Linked DNA regions of Caenorhabditis elegans. The protein of the gene in region 2 purifies or fractionates together with the protein of the main gene of each other region. This does not show direct contact. Each region holds a gene or a part of one and is shown on either strand. Other genes may lie near its edges.

Region 1 (4,870 bases), 7.9 Mb from region 2:
TACAGGGAATTGTTCTTCAAGTGACACCAGAATACCACACAATTCTTCGCATTTACGAATCAGAGCTGCCAGAATTGTTAAATGTTTCACAAGTGATACTGCATGAAAATCGGGATGAAAATTCTGTTGAGCTCGTGGAAAGCCGGTTGCGATATTGTGAGAGATGCCGGAAGCACACTCGGAATGAAAGTGATGCTCTATGCGGAAGATGCTCAGATGCGATGGGACTTTCTCGTTAAATTAGATGATTTTTGTAGAACATTGTAATTTGATTTATTTTAGGAAAGTAAATGTTTTAATTTAGAGGCGCCACGTTTTCAAGATCTGTTCAAAAACAAGATTTACGAAAACAAGATCCACCAAAACAAGATCTACATTTTCAAGATCTACCAAAACAAGATCTACGTTTTCAAGATCTGGCACCGTGCCAACTGTGGTTTTCTCGAAGAAAACCAAACAACGATGCTCCGATGTTACGCGTCGCGTGTTGTTTAGCGTTCAAACGAATATTTTTTGAAATTTTCTTCTAGAATTTACGCTTAGCAACACGCGACGCGTAGAGAAAACCGCAGTTGGCACGGTGCCAGATCCTGAAAACGTAGATCTTGTTTTGGCGGATCTTGTTTTCGTAGATCTTGTTTTTGAACAGATCTTGAAAACGTGGTGCCTCTTAATTTATGTTTGCACATCAATTTCCCGAAACACCAACTTCTAGCAAGAAAAACTTGACGTCATGCTCGACTTGCTTCAAGCAAAAGAGGTCCTCAGATAGAAAACAGGATTTGATGTTGAAAATTTATTTTCCGATATAAATACATAACGTCTCAAAATTTATAAAGTGAGTGCAATGATTGTCAAACGTAAGGGGGATGGAACCCGGTGACAAATAATAAACGATTAGTTGTGGATGATTGTTTACATGATTAGATTGGTGTCAGAAGTACAGAAGGCTTCACTGCAACGCGTTGACGATGGTCGAATTGCGTTCACAAATGGAGTACAGCATATACGTGCACGGGTAGAAGTACGTGTATGATGCCGATTCCAGGGATGATGGTGATTTGTAGCTGGCAGCACAATTGGCGAGTGATGACCAACCGTTGAAGAGTGGCTTGTATGGTTTGATGAGCCAGTTGCTGAAAAAATTAAATTTAGAAGCAATCAATTGTTGTTGACAAAACCTACATTTTGGTTGGATTGAGAGCTCCTTCAGTCTGCCATCTTGGCAACTGCTCCAACTTCTCGTAATGGGTGAATCTGACAAGTCCGATCCACGAAAAGAAGGCTTCCTTGGCTTGAACACGAATTGCGTCCCACTCTTCAATCGAATTGGCCACGAACAGTGTTGACTGCTTCTCGAAGCAATTTCTCTCGGCCTTGGCGAATCCAAGAAGCTCCTTCTCGATCCAGTAGCACGAATCGGCGAACCGAAGCCATCCATCGGGACACTTCTCAGTCTGATTGACGAAGGCTGGCGGCTGTCGAGCTGGGAACGAGATGTCTTCGAATGCCGTTGTGCCGAGATCCTTGTAGTCCCAGTTGTAGAACGTCACTGAAATTTGTTACTTTTAACGAAAATTTAAAGATTTCAAAGAAACTTACGTCGTTGATGCGGCTGTTCGTCGTTTTGAACCAATGGTGATGTTTCTGGAGCTTCACCACTAGCTTCAGGAAGCTCGGTTGAAGAAGTCGGAGCTGCATGAACGAGGAATAGCCCAGGAAGGATGAAAGCAACGAGAAGGCAAAAACGCATGATGAGCAGTGAAGACTGAGGAAATGAACGTTTCGTTCTCCTTTTATGCACATTTTTGCCGCCGTTTCCTGAAATTTTCACAAATGCGCGCCGCTAATAGACAGAGATCAAATAATAATTTCAAAACAAATCAAGTCTAGAAATATCCTAAACTTCATTTCTGAACTGGTGTTATGAATTTGAAGCACGGATGATGGTTTAAATGTTCTGTAGCACACTGCAGATTTTCATTTATGAAAATATTTAACTTTTAAAAGGGCAAGATCTTGTTTTAAAAAATTGTAATTAATTTTGAAAATTATATTTTGAATAGCCGCCCTTGATATTAACAAAATATGCAGTGGAGCGCACTTAATGCGCCCATTTTCAACAGAAAATAACGCTCGAGATTCGAATTCAATTCTCTCCTCCCTTGCAATTTTCGTGTCACTATGCCAACCGACGAACCTTCGAAGCGAAAATCCATTTTACCAACGATTCCAACATCCCTGATGTTGAAGAAAAGTAACGAAGCATTGAGTGACTTCGAACGTGAGTTGGGTTCAGCGAAAATGTATTATTCAGCGGTATTATCTTTCAGGAACATTTAATGATCGAGTTATGGATATATTTGCCGAAAATCGAAGAATAGATGTAGAGGAGTTTAAAAAAAATGCCGAATGCTTTTTAAACATCATTCGATCGAACAAAATCGATTTAAATTGGGGTGAAGGGGGAGAAAGTAGATATGTGACGATAACTCGATTAATGGTAAGGTTCTCGGTGAATTCAATAATTAAGAATGTGCAATTATTCAGAAAATACTCAAAACTTCACCACAATCAATCAAAGATCTACTTCCACATAACACAGTGTCGAATTTCGTTAAAATAACCAATTATAATTTAACAATTGATATCACTCTTTTAGGTTTGTGCAAAGCAGGGAGTTCTTATTATAAAGAATTTGAATTTCAGAGGAGCTTGTACGAACAGTCATTCACGCTGAGGAGTCCTACATCAAACTTCTTCCATTTTCAGAAAATAGCACAGAGATTTCCAGTTATGTAAGTATCTTATTTCTACTCTAAAAGCTATTATCCTGACACTATTTTCAGAGTCTCCAAGACTTTGTGGCCACACATTTTATTCCAATTATGATTGAAGAACCGGAAAATCCTGTCTATTATACAGCTTACGCAGTTGGAACAATATTTTTCCTATTGGGTGCTCGACGGCGAGACTGTGTATATTTGAAGGATTTACTTGCTTCAACACTTCTACTACAACTCGAAGAGTGTATTCATGCAGAGAATCATTGCTTATCACCTCCGAAAATTGATGTGTATGATTTATCAGTGCCATAAATTGCTTCAAAAAGTCTTTTTTCAGATTCACCGTCGCTCAATTTCGAACCACTTTATCAGAATTCCGATTCCTTGACTCCCAACGAAAGGGATTGTTGGCGCCAGCGGACTTGAAATTTTTCAGAGAGTATGAAGAAATTATTTTTCAGTCTATAAATCCTATTTTTCAGCGGAATCTTCAATGAGGTTTTCACCAAGCGAATCTTCGAAATTTCAATAACCTATGAAGATGGACGTATTGATTTCAAAGCGTTCGTTGATTTTGTCACCGCTCTAAAGTTCCGTCATGTAAGCGATTTTTTAATCAGAACCAAAAAATTGTTCTAAAAAATAAATTTCCAGACCACTGCCTCCGCCAAATACCATTTCGAAATTCTGGATCTAAAGGATGATGGACTGTTGGATGAGGAAGAAATTCGATCAATAGTGAGTAAAACTCTCCAAGAACACTTTCTCATCGCTTAAAAGTCATCATTTCAGCTTCAAAACCTGCCAGATTACGTCCCGGAAGATAATAGTGTGAACCCGGAAGTAGCAACTGCCGAACTGAGAGATATGATGCGTCTGAATCAGAATGGAATTACATTGGAAGAGTTTCTTGCTAATCGGATGAACTCGACGTTTGCTGGATTCCTCTCCAATTCCGATGATTACATGAAGTACGAACGACGCGAGCAATAGCAGTCCCGCTAATTTTATTTTTAAAACTATTCTAACCACTCATTTCGGCCTGCAAGGGTAATAAACAGCTTTTGGACCAAACATTTTATGGATGAGACAAGAGGGAGAAAAACGGAAACATAACAAGTTATATTTGAAGTAACAAAAGTATACAAAACATTTGTTTTGGATCAACTCAGGATTATAAATTTAAAGGGGAAACAAAAAGGAAAGCAACAGACAACAGATAAAAAACGAAGTGTAGACGGGGGTGAGAAACAATTTTGGAAACAAATTAACTTAAGGATAAAGTTAAGAAACTAATCGTCAGAGTCAGAGAACTTGATAGAATTAATAGATTGGTTGATTGGACCACCTCCGTAGCTTCCCTTCTTCTTCTTAGTTTTCTCATGACGGAATGCTTTTCCAACAACTTTTCCTAGGCTTTCATTGGCACGCTGTCCCCATTGATCGAAGTGCTGAAAATAAATCGAGTTAAACTTTGTTCGTAGTCGCTATATGTTTACCGAATCATGCTGGTTGTTTCTAAATTTTTCAGAAACGCTATCCTTTGTCATTTGCACGCGTCGGAATGGTGAAGACTTTCTTTTTCGGTTTTCATAGACCGCCTTTTCAGTCGAGGTAGCCAATGGTTTTGCCTTCAAAGCCGGTGTTCTTGAACTGCTCTCCTCGGTCTCGGCGGATTCTTCAGAGTCAGCACGTTGTGGTCTTGGAGTGACAGCCTTAGATGGTTTTGGAAGATCTTCGTCGTCATCAGAGGAATCAGAAGATTCAGCTTTCTTTAGTGCAGTCTTTGGAGTTGATTTTGCTGGTGTGGTGGCAGACTTCTTTTTCGTTTTCTCATCATCCGAAGAATCGTCTGACGATGAAGAGGCTTCTTTTTTCACAGCGGTTTTTGCAGGTGTTGACTTGGCTGGTGTCTTCTTAGCCGGTGCCTCGTCATCAGAAGAATCATCGGATGAATCAGCTTTTTTGGCAGATTGCTTAGGAGTAGCTTTTGGTGTTGGCTTGGCAGTCGGCTTCTTTTCATCGTCAGAAGAATCATCTGAACTTGAAGCCGCTTTCTCTTTTTTCGGGACAACGTTAGGAGT
Region 2 (8,735 bases):
TTAGTCAGAAATAATGAACACTAGTAGATCAGTGCGCGCGCGCGAAAAGGTGAACGGGAAAAGATAGCTCAACAAAAACTATGGATATGAAGAAGAGAAAAAATACGGTATAAGGGGGTGGGATGAGACAAAAAAATCAATGAGAATCATCATAAATATTTTTTTTAAAATTAATTTTCGCGGTGAAGATGAAGCTGGTCCCATTGGAATACGACAACGATCATATGTACATTCGTTTACTGCTTCGATTGTGGAGTAGAAGCTGCTGCTGGTGGCTTCTGAGTCGAACGATCCTTTGATGGAGCACGAATTCCGTGAAGACCTCCGGCAGATGGCATTCTGGAAAATTTTTAATTAGTAATTAGTAAATTTGAAAAAAGAATTGTTTAGAATATTTTGGTATTTTTTTTCCAAATTTTTTACAATTAGCATTGCCAATCTTAAAAGTTCAAAAATGTATGCTTTTTATTCGAAATTATTTTTTGTACCAGATCAGGGGTGGGTGGCAATTGGTTTGTCGTCAAATTAGGCAATTTGCCGGTTTGTCGAAAAAATCTTTTCACAACTCTAGGTTTTCATGTAGGCACAAAATGCCTACTAGGTGCCAATCGAATGCCAATCGAAAAATTGCCGGAATGAAAATTTCTGGAAAATCGGCACATTGCCGTCATATCGACAACTTGCCGAAAACGAAAATTTTCGGGAAATCGGCGAACCGGAAATTTGTCGGAATTGTGTTTTCGTTTTCGATTTTCAGAAAAATAGCATTTTTTGCAAAAATGGCTCAAGTTTTAGCCATTTTTTTTTAGAAAAGATGTTGTTTTCTGATATTTTTCTTCCGTCATTAGTAACAAAACTTGATGAAAAATTGAATTTTATCATTACATCTCTATAGATTTTTAAAAAACTTTCTATGAAAAAAATCGAAGAATCTTATCTACTCCAGCCAGTCATTTTAGACTATATTTTTATCATTTTAAGACAACAAAAATAATTTTACAATTCTAGGTTTTCATGTAGTCAGATAAATGTTTCATCGCCTATCGATAGGCATCTTCGAGGCATATTATGCCTGCCTTGTAGGCACCTAATTTTGCCCTACAAAACTACTGATTACATTCCTTATTAGCTCGAAATCCTATAACTTTTCCTAACTTCCCACTTTTAAGGGTGGTGTAGTCGAATTTTTTTTATTGCTTTATCAGGCTCATAATTGTCTGAAAACACCGAATTTCATAATGAAACTTCTTGAAAACTTTTCAGAAAAAAGTTATGACGGCTCAAAAAATGGCCTAAAATTAGTTAAAATCGGAAATTTGACCAACTTATCAATGTCGCAGCAGCTGGAAACAATTTTTTTTTGAAATCACCGCCAAATTTTGAGTATACAAGTTAATTATCTTACGTTTTAAACTTGATTAAGGTATTAAAAAATCTTTGATTTTTAATTTTTTTAACCAAAACTCGCCGTCCATCGATTTTTAAATACTCGTTTAAAACGCGAGGTAATCGACTTGTATACTCAAAATTTGGCGGTAATATCAAAAAAAATTATTTCCAGCCACTGCGACATTGACAAGTCGGTCAAATTTCCGATTTTAACTAATTTTAGGCCATTTTTAGAGCCGTCATAACTTTTTTCTGAAAAGTTTTCAAGAAGTTTCATTGTGAAACTCGGTGTTTTGAGAGAATATCGAGTCTAATAAGACAATAAAAAAATTCGACTACACCACCTTTAAAATTTGAATTTCTGTAATGTAATGCTCTAAATCTTCCAGATTGTCATATATATCCATTGTTTTCTCGACATCAAAGACCACCAAAAAGTCATTCAATACTATTTCCACTTCACCTGTTCACCCCTTCCCCAATCTTAACATCATCTTCTGACCCTTAACGTGACCCCGACTTTCCCAAATCTCCCTCTTCTGCTCACACAACGCTATTTCCAGAGAGCAAACACAGAGCAGCCCCGCCCTAGTGGCGCATCTAACCAAACGCGCAGTCCTCCACAACTATCCACATTGTAACCTTGGCCTGTACATTACATCAGTCGGACCATTCTCTCTCTCTCGCTTTTTACCGTGGCCCATCTCTCGGTGGCTAGACGCTGCCAATATGCAGAGAGCAAGAGAGCGCAGAGCATTATGCAGAGGCTGTCTCTTTTGCTCTCGTCGAGCTATCCAAACCGTTGCCATTTCTCCCTCTTTCACTCCCCGAGACCACCCATATCTCTCGTCTCTCTCTCTCTCTCTCTTTTTCACTCTCTTTCATATTATTCATTCCTCTCTTCTCGGGTTCTTCATTCAATTCTCAGTCATTAGCTACTACCACACAATGCCTAACAACTGAATTATATATTCTACCTGATCGCCGTTTTCCTCTCACAGCCTCGCAAGCTTTCTTTCTCCTTCTTCGAATATTTTTTATGGTGACCTTGTCATTCGTCTCACTATTAATTTTTGTGTGTGTAACACATCTCTCAATAATCGATATTTTTTGCAGATCTCAATTTCAACAGCTTTCAAAAGAATGAGTGCCAACAGAACTGTCACAGTTTTTTCATCGTCAGCAGAGGATCAAGAGCCGGTAAGTATTTGAGCTGTTCTAGATTCTGTTGAGACACAAAAAATCCATTTTCACACGTGGTGCCAGAGTCTGTCTCATCACGGTTTGATCTACAAAAAACGCGGGAATTTTTTGCACAAAAATATGTTCTTAACCATGCGAAATCAGTTGAGAACTCTGTGTCTCTTCTCCCGCATTTTTTTGTAGATTTATGTAGATCAAGCCGAAATGAGACACTCTGACACCACGTGTTTTCAATGAATTCTGGAGTTTTGAAAATAGTTGAATGTGCCATGAACAAGTGTTTATATTTTAGATCGAATTGGCTGAAGACTCACTTCAAAACTTGGACAAAATGCTGGCTGAGGAAAAAGAAGAACACCAGTTGTTGAAGGACGAAGTTGTGCTTCTCAGAAAGGTGAGCAACTTATTCAATTCACTATTTAGAGAATTGAGAAAATCAATTCAATTAATGAAATTAATTAACTTAATATAACTAATAATAGAATTAATGGAACTTAATTAATTAGTAAATTGCAATTTTTCAAGCTATAAACCTATTATTTTTCAGGAAAACGTGGAAGCCAAGACCTACTCCACATTATTGGAGATCATGCTTGACGAAGCCGAAGAAAAAGCATCGTCCGCTCAAGAAACGACCTCCGAAGAAAACAATCTCAAAATTTTGAACCGAGATCTTGTGGCCGAAAACTTGGAATTGAAAGAGATGAAAGAGGAGCTCAGAAAGATCTGGTTGAGCGACTCGAAAAAATTTCAAGAAGCTCTTACGCGGATCTCAGATGAGAATACAAAACTTCAAAAAGATTGTCACGAGTTGGAATCGATTCGGCAATGTGCCCAGTTTGCATTGGATAACTGTAACGAGGAGCTCGAGAAAACCCAAACGGAAAACGAAGAGCACGAGAGCCGCATTGAGACGCTGGAACGTGAAGTTTGTGAAAAAGATATTGCCATGAAAGATATTGTTGAGCGGAAAGACGAGATTTCGCTTCAACTGGAATTGCAGACAAAGGAGTTCACATCTGCATTGAATGATCTGATGTATGGAAGAGAAGACACCTTGAAGCAGATCCATCAAATGAAGGAAAACTGGAAGGTCAAGCAGAATGAATTTGAAGTTGAAATTACAAAGTTGAAGAGTCAAAATGACTACTTTGACTCTGAACGATTGCAATTGACTGACCGAATTAGAGCTTTGCTCAACGAGTTGTCCGATGTTCGCCTGGAACTTGGCTCTACTCGTTTGGCAATGAAGGAAAAAGCTGAAGTTACAGAAGCGGTGACCAGTTTCAACAAAGATCTTCGCGATAAGTTGGAAGATGAAATTGCAAGACTCGGTGAATGCTTACAGTTCAGAAAGGACGAACACGAACAGGATGAAGCAGTCATTGCTCATCTTGAAGAACAACTCAAACTTGGCAGTGATAAAGCTGCTGCGTTTTCCAGCGAGCACAGTGACACGATTGAGTTGCTCCGTGAGTCTGAAACCGAACTGATGGAGCTCAGAATGGAGAATTACGATCTGAAGGAGGACTTCAAAATTTTGAAGGAGGAGAAAGAAGATGTCAATCGCACATGTGAATGTCTCCGCGAACAATTGAGCACAACAATTCAGGAGCGGGACATCGAAAAAGGCCAGATGCAGAGTGAGATGGATGCAAAAATGGTTGCTGTGCATCAACAGTACGCCAAGCAAATTGATAATATGAAGTACAATCATATGTTGGCAATTAATCAGGAGTTGATCAAAGGACAAATGGCTCTGGAATCTGGGAAGAAGAAGCACGCCAATGAGATTTTGACGGTACGAAACGAACTAGAGCAATCCAATGCTGCTCATCAAAGCTTGAGAGACCAGTGCAGTTTGCTTTTGAGCTCCGAAGATGATCTCAGAACCGCACATTTGGCTTTAGAAAGCAAAATGACTCTCGTTTCTGAAGAATGTATTGCACTCAGAGTGTCTCGAGCTAATGCTCAGAAAGAAATTGGAAATTTGACTGAACATCACAAACTTGAAGTAGCACTCTTGGAAGATGCGAAATCCGGAATCCAACAACGTCTCCATTACGCCACTATTGAAATCGAGCAGCTAAAAAAGATCAATGAGGTTACTCAAGCCCAGTTTAAGAAGGAAACAGATGAGAAAAATGCCGAGATTAACGAATTCCAAGCTGCAATGGTATCAATGAAACAGCAATACAATGTTCTTGGCAATCATTGTCGCGTTCTGACATCTCAAGGAATCTCGGATCGTACCACAATTGACAAACTCCAGGAAACCATTCGCGAGCACACAGAACTTGCAATCGAAACGAAGAGAATTCACGATGCAGAGATTGTTCAGTTGAATGATGCTCATAAGAAGTTGGTGGATAATTTGGGAGTTGAAGAACTCGACGAGGAGCCGAAAGCATCAACGGAATCGGAAGAGAAGGCTGAATGGGAGATGGTCGACGAAGAATAACAATTTTGATTAATTTCTTGTTCGTTTTTGTTTCTAAATTGCACACTTTACTGTACATTGCAAATTGTTTTTGTCTTTCATGCCCGCCTAAATTGTTCTCAATTTGTTATTACAATTTTTTCTGTTTAAATAATCAATTTTTCCTTTTTTGAAGAATTTTGAGTTCAATAAATCCATCGTTTCTTCTCATACCCTTTGTAGGAGCTGTACACATATGATGGCACAGGGCGCACAGCAGATTTTCGGATACTCGACGCTGGGCCCTCGTGTGAAGTCCTCGTTGGCGTAGCAGTAACCTTTGGTGTGGCAAGTCTGTTGAAAAGGTCAGCACGGGAGGCTTTCTGTAAATTCAAAAAATATATATATAGAAAAAAAAACGTTGCACAAATGTACCCCTGGAGTGGAAGCCGAAATTGGAGGTTGGCCAGAACGGTCCACTGACCGAGCTCGAGTCGGCGGCTGGCGTTGTACGGATGAAGCCTGGAAATTCGATTTATTAAACAATTAGGCAAATTTTTTAAATTACCACTGGTGGTTTCTTGATCGTTGTGCTCGGAGTTCCCGGGTTGACTCGAAGCGGCTGCCGGTTACGAGCTGCTCCACCAGCTGGAACAGCAGGACGTGAAGCCGCTTTATTCTGTTGAGCATCAGCAGGAGCCGGAGCCGGAACAGTTGGCTTCACAACATTCATTCGAAGAATCGATGAGCGATTGGCTGTTGCAATCGGACGAATCTTCGGCGTCAATTTGCTCACCGACGTCGGCGCTGTTGCCTTGTTCGCCGATGCCGAACGCCGCGGTGGAGCAATTGGAGTGGTGTTTGCTGCAGCAGCAGCAGGCTTATTGGGGAAAACACTTCGACGAGAAGCCGTTGTATTGGTACGGCGTGTACGGTCACGGGATCTGTCACCTCCTGCAGTAGCAGCATCCGATTTTACTGCGGCAACCGGCGTTTTCTGAGCCACTTTGAGAGGCATAACACTTCGACGAACACTTGTTTTGGTGACATTTTCAGCGACACGAGCAGCCATCGCACGAGTAATGACACCTGGTCCGGTATTTGCAATTGGCGCGGAGATGGTGCGAGTGACAGAATTGTGAGGTGGACGTGGCACAGATGGTGCTCGTGGAGCTGCTGCAGCTGGCTCACGCGACATTGAACGTTTCGTGCTGATCGAGCGAGAACGAGTTCCGGACGCTGGAGCAATGACGGATGTCCTCTTATCTTCCTCTTCTTTCTTTCTCTGCTCTGAACGGCGACGCTGCGAAAGACGTTCCTCTGGAGCTTTTGGTGCAAACATTGACAATTTCTCAAGTCCCTCGATTAGCTGATTTTCTCCACCGCTTCCTGAAGCTGATGCGTCCTCGTTTGGCACGATTTTGAGTGGTTCTCTGATTGGTTGCTGCTGCTTCTCTTCTGTGTTGTCATTTTGACTTGCGTTGATTACAGTGGATTCCGATGAAGACGAAAGAAGATTATCGATAGTTGGAGATGGGAGATCATCATCGGATTCCCGCTTCGTCTTGGGAAGTTGCATTTTGACCGGCGTGTCGCATTCCAGGCTTGCTGGAAATTAAAACTTTATTATGAAAAATAATATTTGAATAGTCTTACGAAAGTGATTTTCGAAGTATGACGTCTCACACGGCTGGTCTCTGCTCGGCGAGCTCGATAATCTCGAATAGTCCTTGACTTTCGGTACAGCAAAGCTGCTGAAGAAATTCTCATCGAATTCCTGAATGGTTTGACTTTTGCTCATCCTATAAGAAAGAAATAAATGATAATTTGAATTCTAACTGATAGAAAAATAAATAAATAAATAAACTCGTGAATTCAGAACACGTTAATCAATGAGTGAACAATAAAATAAAAATCGGCTGAAGAATTATTATTTACAGCGAAAAAAAAATTTAATGTAAAGTTAGGGCCGATGGAGTTTTTGTATTCTCCGTTAAAAAGGGGGAAACATTGAAAATAAAAAATAACTCAATACGAAATATAAAAACATTTTACAATTTTTGAAAAAAGATTATGTCGCATGCTGGAGCGACTCCTGGCGATGTAAGCTGCTTCGGTACAACATCATTCCGAAATGTCTTGAAGAATTGTGCGAGACGACGTGTTTAACGTTGATGGACTCTTTTTCCACACTGCTGACGATCCGCGCTTCTTGACTTTGACAGCATCACTAAAGATTTCCTTTAGATTTGGCTGAAAATTTTTAAATTTTTACTGAAGGAGCTGCAAGAAAAAAAAAACAATTACCTTTCCAATCGATCCGAAGAATTGAGCCACGTCGAATGGTGGATTAATGGCATGTCTTCTGACATTCTCACGGACAACTGCGAATTCGGCCCAAGCCGGGACATCTTTGCGTGGATCATCTTCTTGATCTGTCTCGTCATCACTGTTAAGATCGTTCAAACCATAGTCATTCTTTGAGTTGTTTTGATAGGTACGTGGCGGAGTCATTTCGTAGGCTGCAGGTGGTGGCGTTTTTCGAAGAGCTTCCTGACGAGCTTGTTTCTCCGCGCATCTTGCGAGTGTTGCCTGGAGCTCTGCCTCTTCTCGCTCTCTTTGCTTCTCCAGCTGAGCTTGCTCTTCTCTCTGAACGGCCAGAAAATGCTCCTGCTCTTCTCGAGCTCTGAGTTGACGCTCCTTCTCCGCTTTCTCTTTCATTTCCTTCTGCTCCCGCTTTCGTCGTTCATCTTCTGCTAACTGTAGCAGATACTGCTCCTGTTCCAGCTGAATACGTTGCTGTTCCTGAAGAGCGGCAAGTGCGGCAGCAGCTTCAACATTTGATGTAGAAGACGAAGCTGCGTGGGCCGATCGTTTCGTCGCTTTCGCCTTTGGTTTATGTTGACGCGCCGGTGGAGTTGAATCATCACAGCTCATCGGCTCCATTTTGACTTGCCGGCTACCGTTTCGTTGCAATTCTCGGGAAGGCTGAAATGAGTTAAATTATTATTAGGAAAATACAATCAAGTAAATACTCACCGATAGTTCAACGGTCGGCTGAGCCACAGGAGCAGTCTTCTGTCCATCTGAGCCAATTAGAATCTCAACTTTTCCCTTCTTAGCAGGGCCTCGACCAGGAGTGGATGTGCTTTCCGCCGTTGGGAAGATTTTTCTACTTGCAGCCTTGTTTGGAGCATGGTCTTGCATCAAACGAGCTCTTGTTGGCGACTTTGCACTGTTGTGAAGTTTCGCCAAATTAGCATTACGCTCTTCCTTTTGCTTCAACTGGTCGAGCTTTTCCTGACGAACTCTTTCCTGCTCTTTTCTGCGCTCCATGACAGCATTCCGCTTCTCCTCGTCCTTCCGTGCTTTCTCCCTTTTCTTCTCGAGCTCTTTCATCCGGAGCTCATCAGCATGCTTCATCCTTGCATTCGGATCTTTTTCTGCATCATTGAACGGAATCACACGATGGGGCGTCCTTGGAACCACAGCTGCACGGCCGGGAGTTCCTGCCATACGTCCAGGTGTTGACGAGAAAATGTTGCGCGGAGTAGCTTGATTGTGAGCCTCACGCGGTGGATTTCTGCGAGGAGTGCCACTGTACGCTGCATTTCGTGAGATGCTTCCTTCGGTCTTCTTTTTGGATATGCTCATTTGCTGCATGCGCTTCAACGTGACTGGCAATATGTCCTCTTCGAAATCACCATCAGTCGCTACTGAGCCG
Region 3 (8,591 bases), on a different chromosome or scaffold from region 2:
CTAAAAAACAGTTTGCACAGCCATCGGCGCAGCTAGATTTTTCCGAAAATTACCTGAACCACTGTCGGCTGGAATTTATCGATTGATTTTTGAAGTTTGTGAGGTTCACTTCGATACTCATCAGGTGTAATGATTAATGTACATCCCACGTGAAAAGCCATGAAAAGTTCAACAATTGAAGGATCGAAATGAAGAGAAGTTGAGAAAAGGATGGAATCCGATGATGTTAGATTGAAGAGCGAACTGGAAAAGTATTATAAAATTAACGAAAAATCAATTATTGTTTTATCGATTTTTTTGGAATAAAAATCGATAATCGCTATCGATTTTCGGAGAGTTCCTCACCAAAAATGCTCAATATTCTTGCGAATACAGTCAACTGGAACTGCCACTTGTTTTTTAGCTCCAGTAGTCCCGCTAGTTTGAATTACGTAGCAAATGCTCTCCGCCGCTAAAAGTCCGTTCTCATCGTTTTGAGCGATCCTAGATACCTGAAATGTCAGATTATTGAATTTTTTGAGGATTTATTGATTTTTGTTAAATTATCGATTTTTTCACCACGTAGCACTAACATGTTTTCCGTTGAAAACCAGCGTCGTTCGAAACTTCCGCACCACGTCATCAGTATCGCTCGCCGGCGGGCAAAATGTGAACACAAGCTCAAGTCGGAGGCATCTGAAAAATCGATTTTTTCTGGCTGAGTGGGCGGATTGCCACCTACGCAATAACGGCAACAATCGCGTCGAGACCTCTTTCAATCGATATGAAAACCACGTCGGAGCCGGTGATCGCGCGGCAATTTGAATTCCTGAGAATTTCCGTGAAATTATCGATTTTCTCGAAAATATCCTCCGCCGGAATTGTCGCGTTGCAACCCACATCGATAATTTTCAAATTCCGATTGATTTCCGTCATTTTCTGTGAATGTTTTTTTTTGGGAATTTTTCGGCATATCGATTTTTCCAGTATATGTTCAGCGCTTTTTCGCCTTAAAAGTGTGTGTGAAAATAAAAATCAATAAATAAAATAGTTCATAAAATAGCTAGTAGAATAGTAGAGACCATGAATGATATTGCCGATAATAGTGATAAATAGGCGAAAAAAGTATTTAATTAAAAGCCTAAACATCGGTGACCGTCGCGTCGATTTCAGATTCCAGCACCATTTGTCCCAGCTTCTCCTTTTCCGTCGCATATACCTCGTTGGCTTCGTTGATCTGAGAGAAAAATGGTTGAAACTAACGAAAAATCGATTTTTGATTAAAAAAAAATTAGGCAACTTTTTTAAAGGGAGTGCACCCAGTGGGGAAATTGCTTTAGAACATGCCCATGGGGTCACAATGACCAAATATCATGATAAAAAAATTCGAAAAAATTTTCTAGATTTTATATGACTTTTTGAAAATTGGAAAAATCTCAGTTTTCCCCTAATTCCTTTTTAAATTTCCGCCAATTGGATTCGTTCGGTGGAGCACACTTGCATTATTTTTATTAATTTATTTTATTTTTCTCATTAATTCACTGATTTTCTTCATTTTTTGTGTATTTTTATCGGAAAGACAAAGAAAAATGCAAGATAATTGCAAATTGCTCATTAAAAAATCACTGAAAATGCGTAAAACTGTGAAACATGCTAATTTCAGGCTTGTTGTCGTCAGAACTCATAGTTTTAAAGCTTTACCCGTTTTCAGTGATTTTTTAAACAAACAATTTGCATTTATCTTTATCTTTCCGATAAAAATACACCAAAAATGAAGAAAATCAGTGAAATAATGAGAAAAAAATAAAATAAATTAATAAAAATAATGCAAGTGCGCTCCACCGAATGAATCCAATTGGCGGAAATTCAAAAAGGAATTAGGCAAAAACGGAGATTTTTTCAATTTTCAAAAAATCATATAAAATCTAGAAATTTTTTTTGAATTTTTTATCATGATATTCCGTCATTGTGGTACCATAGGCATGCTTTAAAGCAATTTCCCCACTGGGAGCACTCCACCTTGAAACAAAAAAGCTATATTTTCTTTAAAAAAATTGAATTTTCCCGCCAAAATTTTTCACCGAAATTTTGAATTTTCGTCGCTTTTTTTTCCGATTTTTGTATAGATTTTGTGAGATTTTGTGAGATTTTTCACATTTTCACGTTCCGTACCAAATTCTTATTCGCATAACGTGCGGCGATAACTGTCATCTGCACTTGTTGCCATTGATATTTTTGTTTTTCGGCGTCCGGTAGACCTCGGCGTACATCATATCGATAATCCAACTCCATTGGCATCATTCCTTCAAGTTTCTTGCTCATTTTCACATCGGTGCACCATTCCGATTTTCTCGATTCGGGTCCGTGCTCGGTTTGGAGCATTTTCAACGCCTCCGCTTCAAACGCGATTTCCTCATTTTCAGTCATTTTTCGGCCAAATTTCAGGTAGTTTTTATTGATTAAATCCACCACCGCACTCCAAATAAGTATGGAAAACGAGTCGAAATACTCGAAATTGTCGTCGAACTCCATTTGAACATCTTTAAATGAGGGTGGCTGCCAAACATCTTGCGCTGTAAGCCAGTCGACTCCGCGGAGCTCGTCCTGAAGCTCAATTGCCTTTTGAACCATTATTGGGCTCTGAAAAAGTGCGAAATTAAACATTTAGATGTAATAAGAGAAAACAAAAAAGAATGGGCCGAACCGGGGATTGAACCCGGGACCTCTCGCACCCAAAGCGAGAATCATACCACTAGACCATTCGGCCACGGTTTCCCAAGCTTCTTGGGTGTGTAGACATTTCTGTTGAACAAATTCCGCAGAAATTGACACATGGTGCATCATGTCTTTGCCTCCTGGGAAGCAAAGTTTCGCGGCCGAATGGTCTAGTGGTATGATTCTCGCTTTGGGTGCGAGAGGTCCCGGGTTCAATCCCCGGTTCGGCCCATTCTTTTTTACACACTTACAATCTCTTTCAAGAACTCTCGCTGACAATATTCCTCCATATCCATTCCAGCAAACGTCGTTTCATCGGCTTCCGCCGGCACTCTTGGTGTATCTGTCACTGCTGCCGACGCCGCCGCCGGCGGCAAATTGTCAAAAATCGATTTAAGCCGCGGTGCCGGCGAGTTGTCAAGCAAGAATCCCGAATCGTCAGCGCTATCATTATTGCCACGTGGCTCCAGCTCTTCCTCCAGGCTCTGTTCGAATTCATCGTGATTCACAAAGCGTTTCGTCTCGTCTTGCTCGTCCTCCGGATCTATGATTAGGCCCAGTTTTTCGGGCTCTTTGTGCTCCTCAATTTCATGCTCAAATTGTGTAGCATTCGGGTCCTCCGATCCACCGGATGAGTCTTCTCCGTTGTCTGAAGCGACTAGAGTTTCCGGGGATTTGGAATCAGAATGCTCGGAAACCACTTCCTCCAGATTCTCTGATTCTGTAGTGACTGATACCTCAGACACCACGGGAATCTCCAATTCCATGGATTCAGATTCAGATTCCTGAGCTTCCATCGATTCTCTCTCCTTCTTAACTTGCTCCAAATAGTGCGAAAGTCCTGCAGAAAGTCGCCGCGCCGATTCTGAATCCAGAGAAACTCGGCCACTACGTGGCGTCGTCTCTTCCACAGTGGACGGGAAGCTTATATCAGTCTTCAGACGGGAAAATGGCTCGGCGACAGTCTCCAGGCTCTCATTGTGCAGTGAAATGCTATTGAGCATACTATCAAACTCGGCAATCGTCGACACGGGCGCCGTCATCGAAAGTGTCACTGGTGGCCGCTGAGGTTCGGCGGAAACTTCGGCCAGCACCGGTTCAACCACAGGCGGTGTAGTCTGCGAGGACGAGTTGTGTTTCTCCAACAATTGTGAAAGATCCAACGGTTCAACACCAATTCTTCGGGGACTCGTCTGAGTCATTGCAGACTCGGCGAGCCGTGACGTCATTTGTGTCGATGCTTCTCTCATTGAAGGGGGCGGGGCTGCGTCCGACGATGATTGTTGGTTCAGTTGTGATGATGGATTGATCTACAAAAATCAGATTTTTTGAGATTTCTTGAAAAGATCCGCCTATTTTTATGAAATTAGCCAATAAAGGGGCGGGGTTTCATCCGCCTATTTTAAGCGATTTGAAATTCTCTTAAAATAGGCGGATTTTTAAAAGAAATTTGCCAAAAAACGGCTTAATTTACCTTAACAGCTATGCTCTTTCGACTCGTGTTAAGTGATCGATTGAGACTTTTGCTGTTTCTGTGCAACGTGGCGACATTTCGAAAATGGTCGATTGTGATCTTCATTTTTCGCGCCAATTCCAGCATTTCACGGGCGGTTTGAATGTCGAATTCGCGAAACGGCAACGCCATCCAGTTGTCGATGGAGCGCAAAAGCCGCTGATTGTACGGATCGCCGGAGAATGGTTGGCTGTAAACAAAAACCTTAAGAAGCCAAGATATGGGCGCGGAGCCTAAAGAGCAAAAAAATCAAATTTTTTCTTGGAATTTCTACCTTGAAACGAGTTGATGTATAGCCAATTGTGCTTGAGTAAGCTTATCAATTCGATCCTTTAATTCCTGAATGACCGCCCGTTTTTTTGCGTTCTGCGTCTCCACTTCTATGAGTTTCCGTACAGCCTCTGCTTCATTTCGTCGTTTTTTTGCCTCTTCAGCAATTATTGGTGATCTATTAGCGGCCGCGAGATTCTGTAAGAACTTTGGCGACGGTTATGTAGATCAAACATCCGATTTTACGCGCAAATTCAAATTTCAGCAAATTTTTGGTAGGAAATATTAATTTTTAATTGTAAGTGTGTGTTTTTATTTTATTTTTTTAGAATTTTAAAGTCTTTCGGTGTAAAAATTCAATTTTCTGTCGATCACATGCTGCAACTGCGCTCTGGTGCTAATTTATCATTGGAGCGCATTTACAGTAAGTTTCAGCTCAAAATTGACAGAAAAACGTGATTTCTGCTCAAAAATCTGGGAATTGAGTGAAAAATTAAAATTTCCCGCCGATCGCATGTTGCAACTGCGCTCCAATGTCAAATTCGCATCAGAGCGCACTTGCATTATGCGATCGGTGGGAAATGTGAATTTATACAGATGTTTTTTTCATTTTTTGACAATTTCGAGCGAAAAATATGGATTTTTAATTCAAAATTGGCGAAAAAAATCCAATTTTTCGGCGGAAACCCCCAGGAAAAATCGGGTTTTACTGATTTTTTCGAGAAATTTTCCAATTCCTGTACCTTGATGCTCTCCAGCTTTGTCATTTGACGTTCAACACCAACAACAACTCGATCCGAATACTGTAGCTGAATTTGATGCGTCGCGACGAGGGTATCAACATATGAGGTGCGACGAATCGGTGTTTCCGTGGTTTTTTTCACCAAAGGCGACTCAATACGTGGCACACGCGGCTTCAAAGTGTCAATCGGTGGCGGTTGGGATGAGCTACGTGTCACTTTGGCTCTGGGCTCCAGCTGCTCCGAGCTCTCCTGAATCGTCTGCTGACGGGCTTCATGGGGTGAGTGGCCGGAGATCATGAGCTCCTGCATTCTTGAAAAGTTTTCCTCCATTTTCCGGCTCAGACAAGACGTGTATTGCTCTGATAACGGGGTTCTTGGCACTGAAAATTATGAAAATTAGGTTTTTTTTTGAAAGAAATTCAAAAAATTACAATATCTTGGCGGTTTTGAAGACACCGGCGTCGCATCACTGCTACGTGGCTTTTGTGACTTTTTCGACGTGGATGGAGTGACAAATTCGTCATCGGCGGGCTCCGGTGTGAAGTATTGATCGCTGGACGGGGAGGCTTCTGGGGTTGCGGAGTTGCGGCGGCGGGCGATTCGTAGATCACGAGCTTTATCTTTAAGCCGACGATCTTCGTCGTAACGTTCGTAGTCTTCTCGTGTTGGTTGGGGGTTTGCTGGAAATTTAAAAAATTTTTTAAATTAACAAAAAAATTTCAAAAAAACCATTTTTCCTCATTTTTCCCCAATTTTTTCCCAAAGAAAACCTACCCATTGATACAAAAACCGGCTTCTCGCCTTCCTCCATGTTTTCCTTGTTTCTGAAACTCAGAAAATAAATAAATGGTTGCCATGGGGAATTTCCCCCTGCTTACCTTATTTTTTCGTGGTGATCGCGATATTTCGGCTCGAGGAGCACACTTTTCGCGGGTTTTTCGTCGTTTTTTGCGAGCCACGACTTGAAACTGCCCTTAAATACAGGAATTTTCGACATTACGCGGGGAAAATAGTGCGAAAAATTGATTTCGCGTTTGAATTAAAGAATATTTTCGCGGCGACGCCAGTGTGTGCAAACACCGTCACGCGAAAATGCAGACGGCGAGAGAGTGTGGGGAGACGAGGAGACGCAGGGTTTTCTTTGCTGTTTCTTTGTTGATTAATTGCAGATTTTACAGGATTCTCGGGTCAAAAATAGCGGAAAAGTGGGAAAAAAAACTTGAAAACCCTTAAAAATCAGTATAAAATTGATAAATTATTAAATATACAGCTTCTAAACAGTTTCAAGTCAAAAATCAGATTTTTCAAACTAAAAATGATTTTTACCATTTTTGAAACCAATTATTATTATTAATTACCCAAATTCGATAAAAACTCGCTCGAAAACCGAGATTCCTACATTTCGCAAAAATTTCAGTTCCGAAAAATGCGCGCGTCACGCTTGCAACCGGTAGGACATGCCCACTTTTCCGTGCGCGGTCTGCAATTTTTATCCGATTTCAAAATTTTCTGTAATTTCCAGACAAAGAAACGTCCACTTTTATTATTCCAAAGCGGAAAATCATATAAACGGGGGCTTTTTCTAAACAAACAGACAATTTGGGGGCGGTGGGGCGGAGTCAACACGAAAATTTTAAGTAAAGAAAAAATTGGGATTGAAAATAATAATAATATGAATATTGAAGTCGAAATGTGTGCAGGAAAGGGGCGGAGTATAATTTAACGGGGAAAAATTGTAGAAAACGGGGGGCGGAGAAAGGCAATGAAATGGGCGGTGCTTAAAAACGGGGGCGGGGCTTATGTGTGTGAGACATCACAAAGATATTTAAAAATCGGGAGAGATATGAAAATTGTGACTTAAACAGAGAACGGGGGACCCGATATATATATATTTCATTTTCAACATTTTGAAAATGAATTTGTTGAAATTTTGGGAAATTTTTGAAAAAAAATCACATTTTTTGAAATTTTCAGGAAAAAAAGTTGGAAAATTTTAATAATTTTAGCTTGAAATTTTATTAGAATTGTTTGAAAATTCAGATTTTTGCAGATTATTCCCAAATTTTGGTTGAAAAATGGCTAAAAACTCAAAAATAAAATCTACCAAATTTCAGAATTTCTTAGAAAATAGTGGATGATCGTATGAAAATTTGTGAATTTTGGCTAAAAACTCGAAATTTTTGATAATTTCAGCTGAAAATGAACTAAAAAAAAAAAATGTAAAATCCGCAAAAATCTCAATTTTCTAACAAATTTTGCCTGAAAATTCGATTAAAATCGCCAAATTTTAAATTAAAAATTTCCGGGGGAAAAGGGGGAATATTTCACAAAATTGGGGAATTCTTGGGGGCAAAAAAATGGAAGAAAAAAAACTCGCAACATTTCGAAGAGGAACACATGATAACAGGGAAATTATACCAGAATTACGTAAGGAGAAGAGAGATTTTTTGTTTTTTGGAGAGAGAGTTGTTGTGTGGGGGAAAGATTTTCAGAATTGGATGGAAGGGGTCAAATTTGAATATTTTTGAATGAGGGGAAAGCAATGGGACAAAAAAAAAAGGCAAAAGTGAAGGAAGAACTAAAAATATTTCAATTCATATATAAAAATGATTGAGCGGTGATGATGATTATGATTGGAGAGAGGAATTATAATTAATAACAAACAAAAAAACAAAATCAACGATAGAATTCTCGATTGATTCATTAGACGTTTATTTCTTCTTTGGGACGAATGTGATGGGCTCTGAAACAAATTGGATTATTTTTGGGGTTTTAAGAGAATTTTTCAAGTTTTTGGGATTTTTAGGACAAATTTCCAATTTTTTCTGGTTCTGGACTTTTTGAAGATAATTTTTCGGTTTTTTTGGCATTTTTAAGATAAATTTTCAATTTTTTTTTGGACTTTTTGAAGATTTTAAAAAGGTTTTTTGGCATTTTTAAGAGAAATTTTTCGGTTTTTTGGAATTTTTTAAGAGAACTTTTCAAGTTTTTTTGGGATTTTTAGGATAAATTTCCAATTTTTTTGCCATTTTTTGGAATTTTAAGAGAACTTTTCAATTTTTTTTCGAAATTCGCAGAGATATTAAGGAAAATTTAGTTATTTTTTAGCGATTTTGCTAGCGATCGAAAATTTCTCATTTTTTCAGGAAAAATTCAAAAAATTGCACAGCTTTTTGAAAAATTCCAATAATTTTTTTTTGAAGAAAACAGATAAAATTTGCATTTTTGTAGAATTCTGAATTTCCAAATAATTTTTTTATTGACTAACAATTTTAAAAACTCGAATTTGGGAAAAATTGCAATTTTCGGTCTCAAATTTAGGGTTTTTTTGTGAAAAATCGACAAAATTCATATAAAATTCGCGAAATTCC

What was found.
Region 1: the proteins of tpxl-1 (region 2) and rsa-1 purify together in Caenorhabditis elegans (affinity purification with western blotting, with the first as the bait; one study listed by BioGRID). This does not show direct contact.
Region 3: the proteins of tpxl-1 (region 2) and rsa-2 purify together in Caenorhabditis elegans (affinity purification with western blotting, with the first as the bait; one study listed by BioGRID). This does not show direct contact.

What each region holds. Positions count from the first base shown.
Region 1 is NC_003279.8:10,183,694-10,188,563, forward strand, and holds rsa-1 (Serine/threonine-protein phosphatase 2A regulatory subunit rsa-1), read left to right. Parts: upstream 1-2,162; 5' UTR 2,163-2,184; coding exon 2,185-2,284; intron 2,285-2,333; coding exon 2,334-2,503; intron 2,504-2,550; coding exon 2,551-2,662; intron 2,663-2,709; coding exon 2,710-2,798; intron 2,799-2,849; coding exon 2,850-3,076; intron 3,077-3,123; coding exon 3,124-3,225; intron 3,226-3,268; coding exon 3,269-3,386; intron 3,387-3,440; coding exon 3,441-3,524; intron 3,525-3,566; coding exon 3,567-3,779; 3' UTR 3,780-3,857; downstream 3,858-4,870. Other genes in the region: iars-2 (isoleucine--tRNA ligase), read left to right, coding at 6-239; clec-87 (C-type lectin domain-containing protein 87), read right to left, coding at 953-1,136, 1,186-1,552, 1,603-1,753; Nucleolar protein dao-5, read right to left, coding at 4,079-4,237, 4,286-4,870. UniProt on the Caenorhabditis elegans protein: Regulatory subunit of phosphatase let-92 which recruits let-92/paa-1 complex to the centrosomes, thereby regulating microtubule outgrowth from centrosomes and mitotic spindle assembly ensuring the stability of kinetochore microtubules.
Region 2 is NC_003279.8:2,297,581-2,306,315, forward strand, and holds the start of tpxl-1 (TPX2 domain-containing protein), read right to left. Parts: upstream 6,814-8,735; 5' UTR 6,813-6,813; coding exon 6,668-6,812; intron 6,620-6,667; coding exon 5,580-6,619; intron 5,534-5,579; coding exon 5,447-5,533; intron 5,395-5,446; coding exon 5,246-5,394; coding exon of another isoform or gene 5,218-5,245; exon of another isoform or gene 5,054-5,217; coding exon of another isoform or gene 3,140-5,053; intron 2,987-3,139; coding exon of another isoform or gene 2,885-2,986; intron 2,590-2,884; coding exon of another isoform or gene 2,533-2,589; exon of another isoform or gene 2,506-2,532; intron 340-2,505; coding exon 237-339; 3' UTR 1-236. Other genes in the region: epg-2 (Ectopic P granules protein 2), read left to right, coding at 2,533-2,589, 2,885-2,986, 3,140-5,053; icp-1 (Inner centromere protein ARK-binding domain-containing protein), read right to left, coding at 7,136-7,264, 7,319-7,999, 8,051-8,735.
Region 3 is NC_003281.10:11,061,182-11,069,772, reverse strand, and holds rsa-2 (Regulator of spindle assembly protein 2), read right to left. Parts: upstream 6,295-8,591; 5' UTR 6,218-6,294; coding exon 6,099-6,217; intron 6,045-6,098; coding exon 5,995-6,044; intron 5,901-5,994; coding exon 5,652-5,900; intron 5,601-5,651; coding exon 5,221-5,600; intron 4,685-5,220; coding exon 4,482-4,684; intron 4,398-4,481; coding exon 4,169-4,397; intron 4,005-4,168; coding exon 2,946-4,004; intron 2,936-2,945; exon of another isoform or gene 2,848-2,935; intron 2,747-2,847; exon of another isoform or gene 2,675-2,746; intron 2,620-2,674; coding exon 2,152-2,619; intron 1,217-2,151; coding exon 1,121-1,216; 3' UTR 1,014-1,120; downstream 1-1,013. Other genes in the region: W09D6.1 (AMP-dependent synthetase/ligase domain-containing protein), read right to left, coding at 54-243, 346-491, 573-675, 722-915; spat-2 (Protein lilliputian), read right to left, coding at 7,932-7,963. UniProt on the Caenorhabditis elegans protein: Recruits rsa-1 and, thereby, phosphatase let-92/paa-1 complex to the centrosomes. Recruits sys-1/beta-catenin to mitotic centrosomes during the first embryonic cell divisions.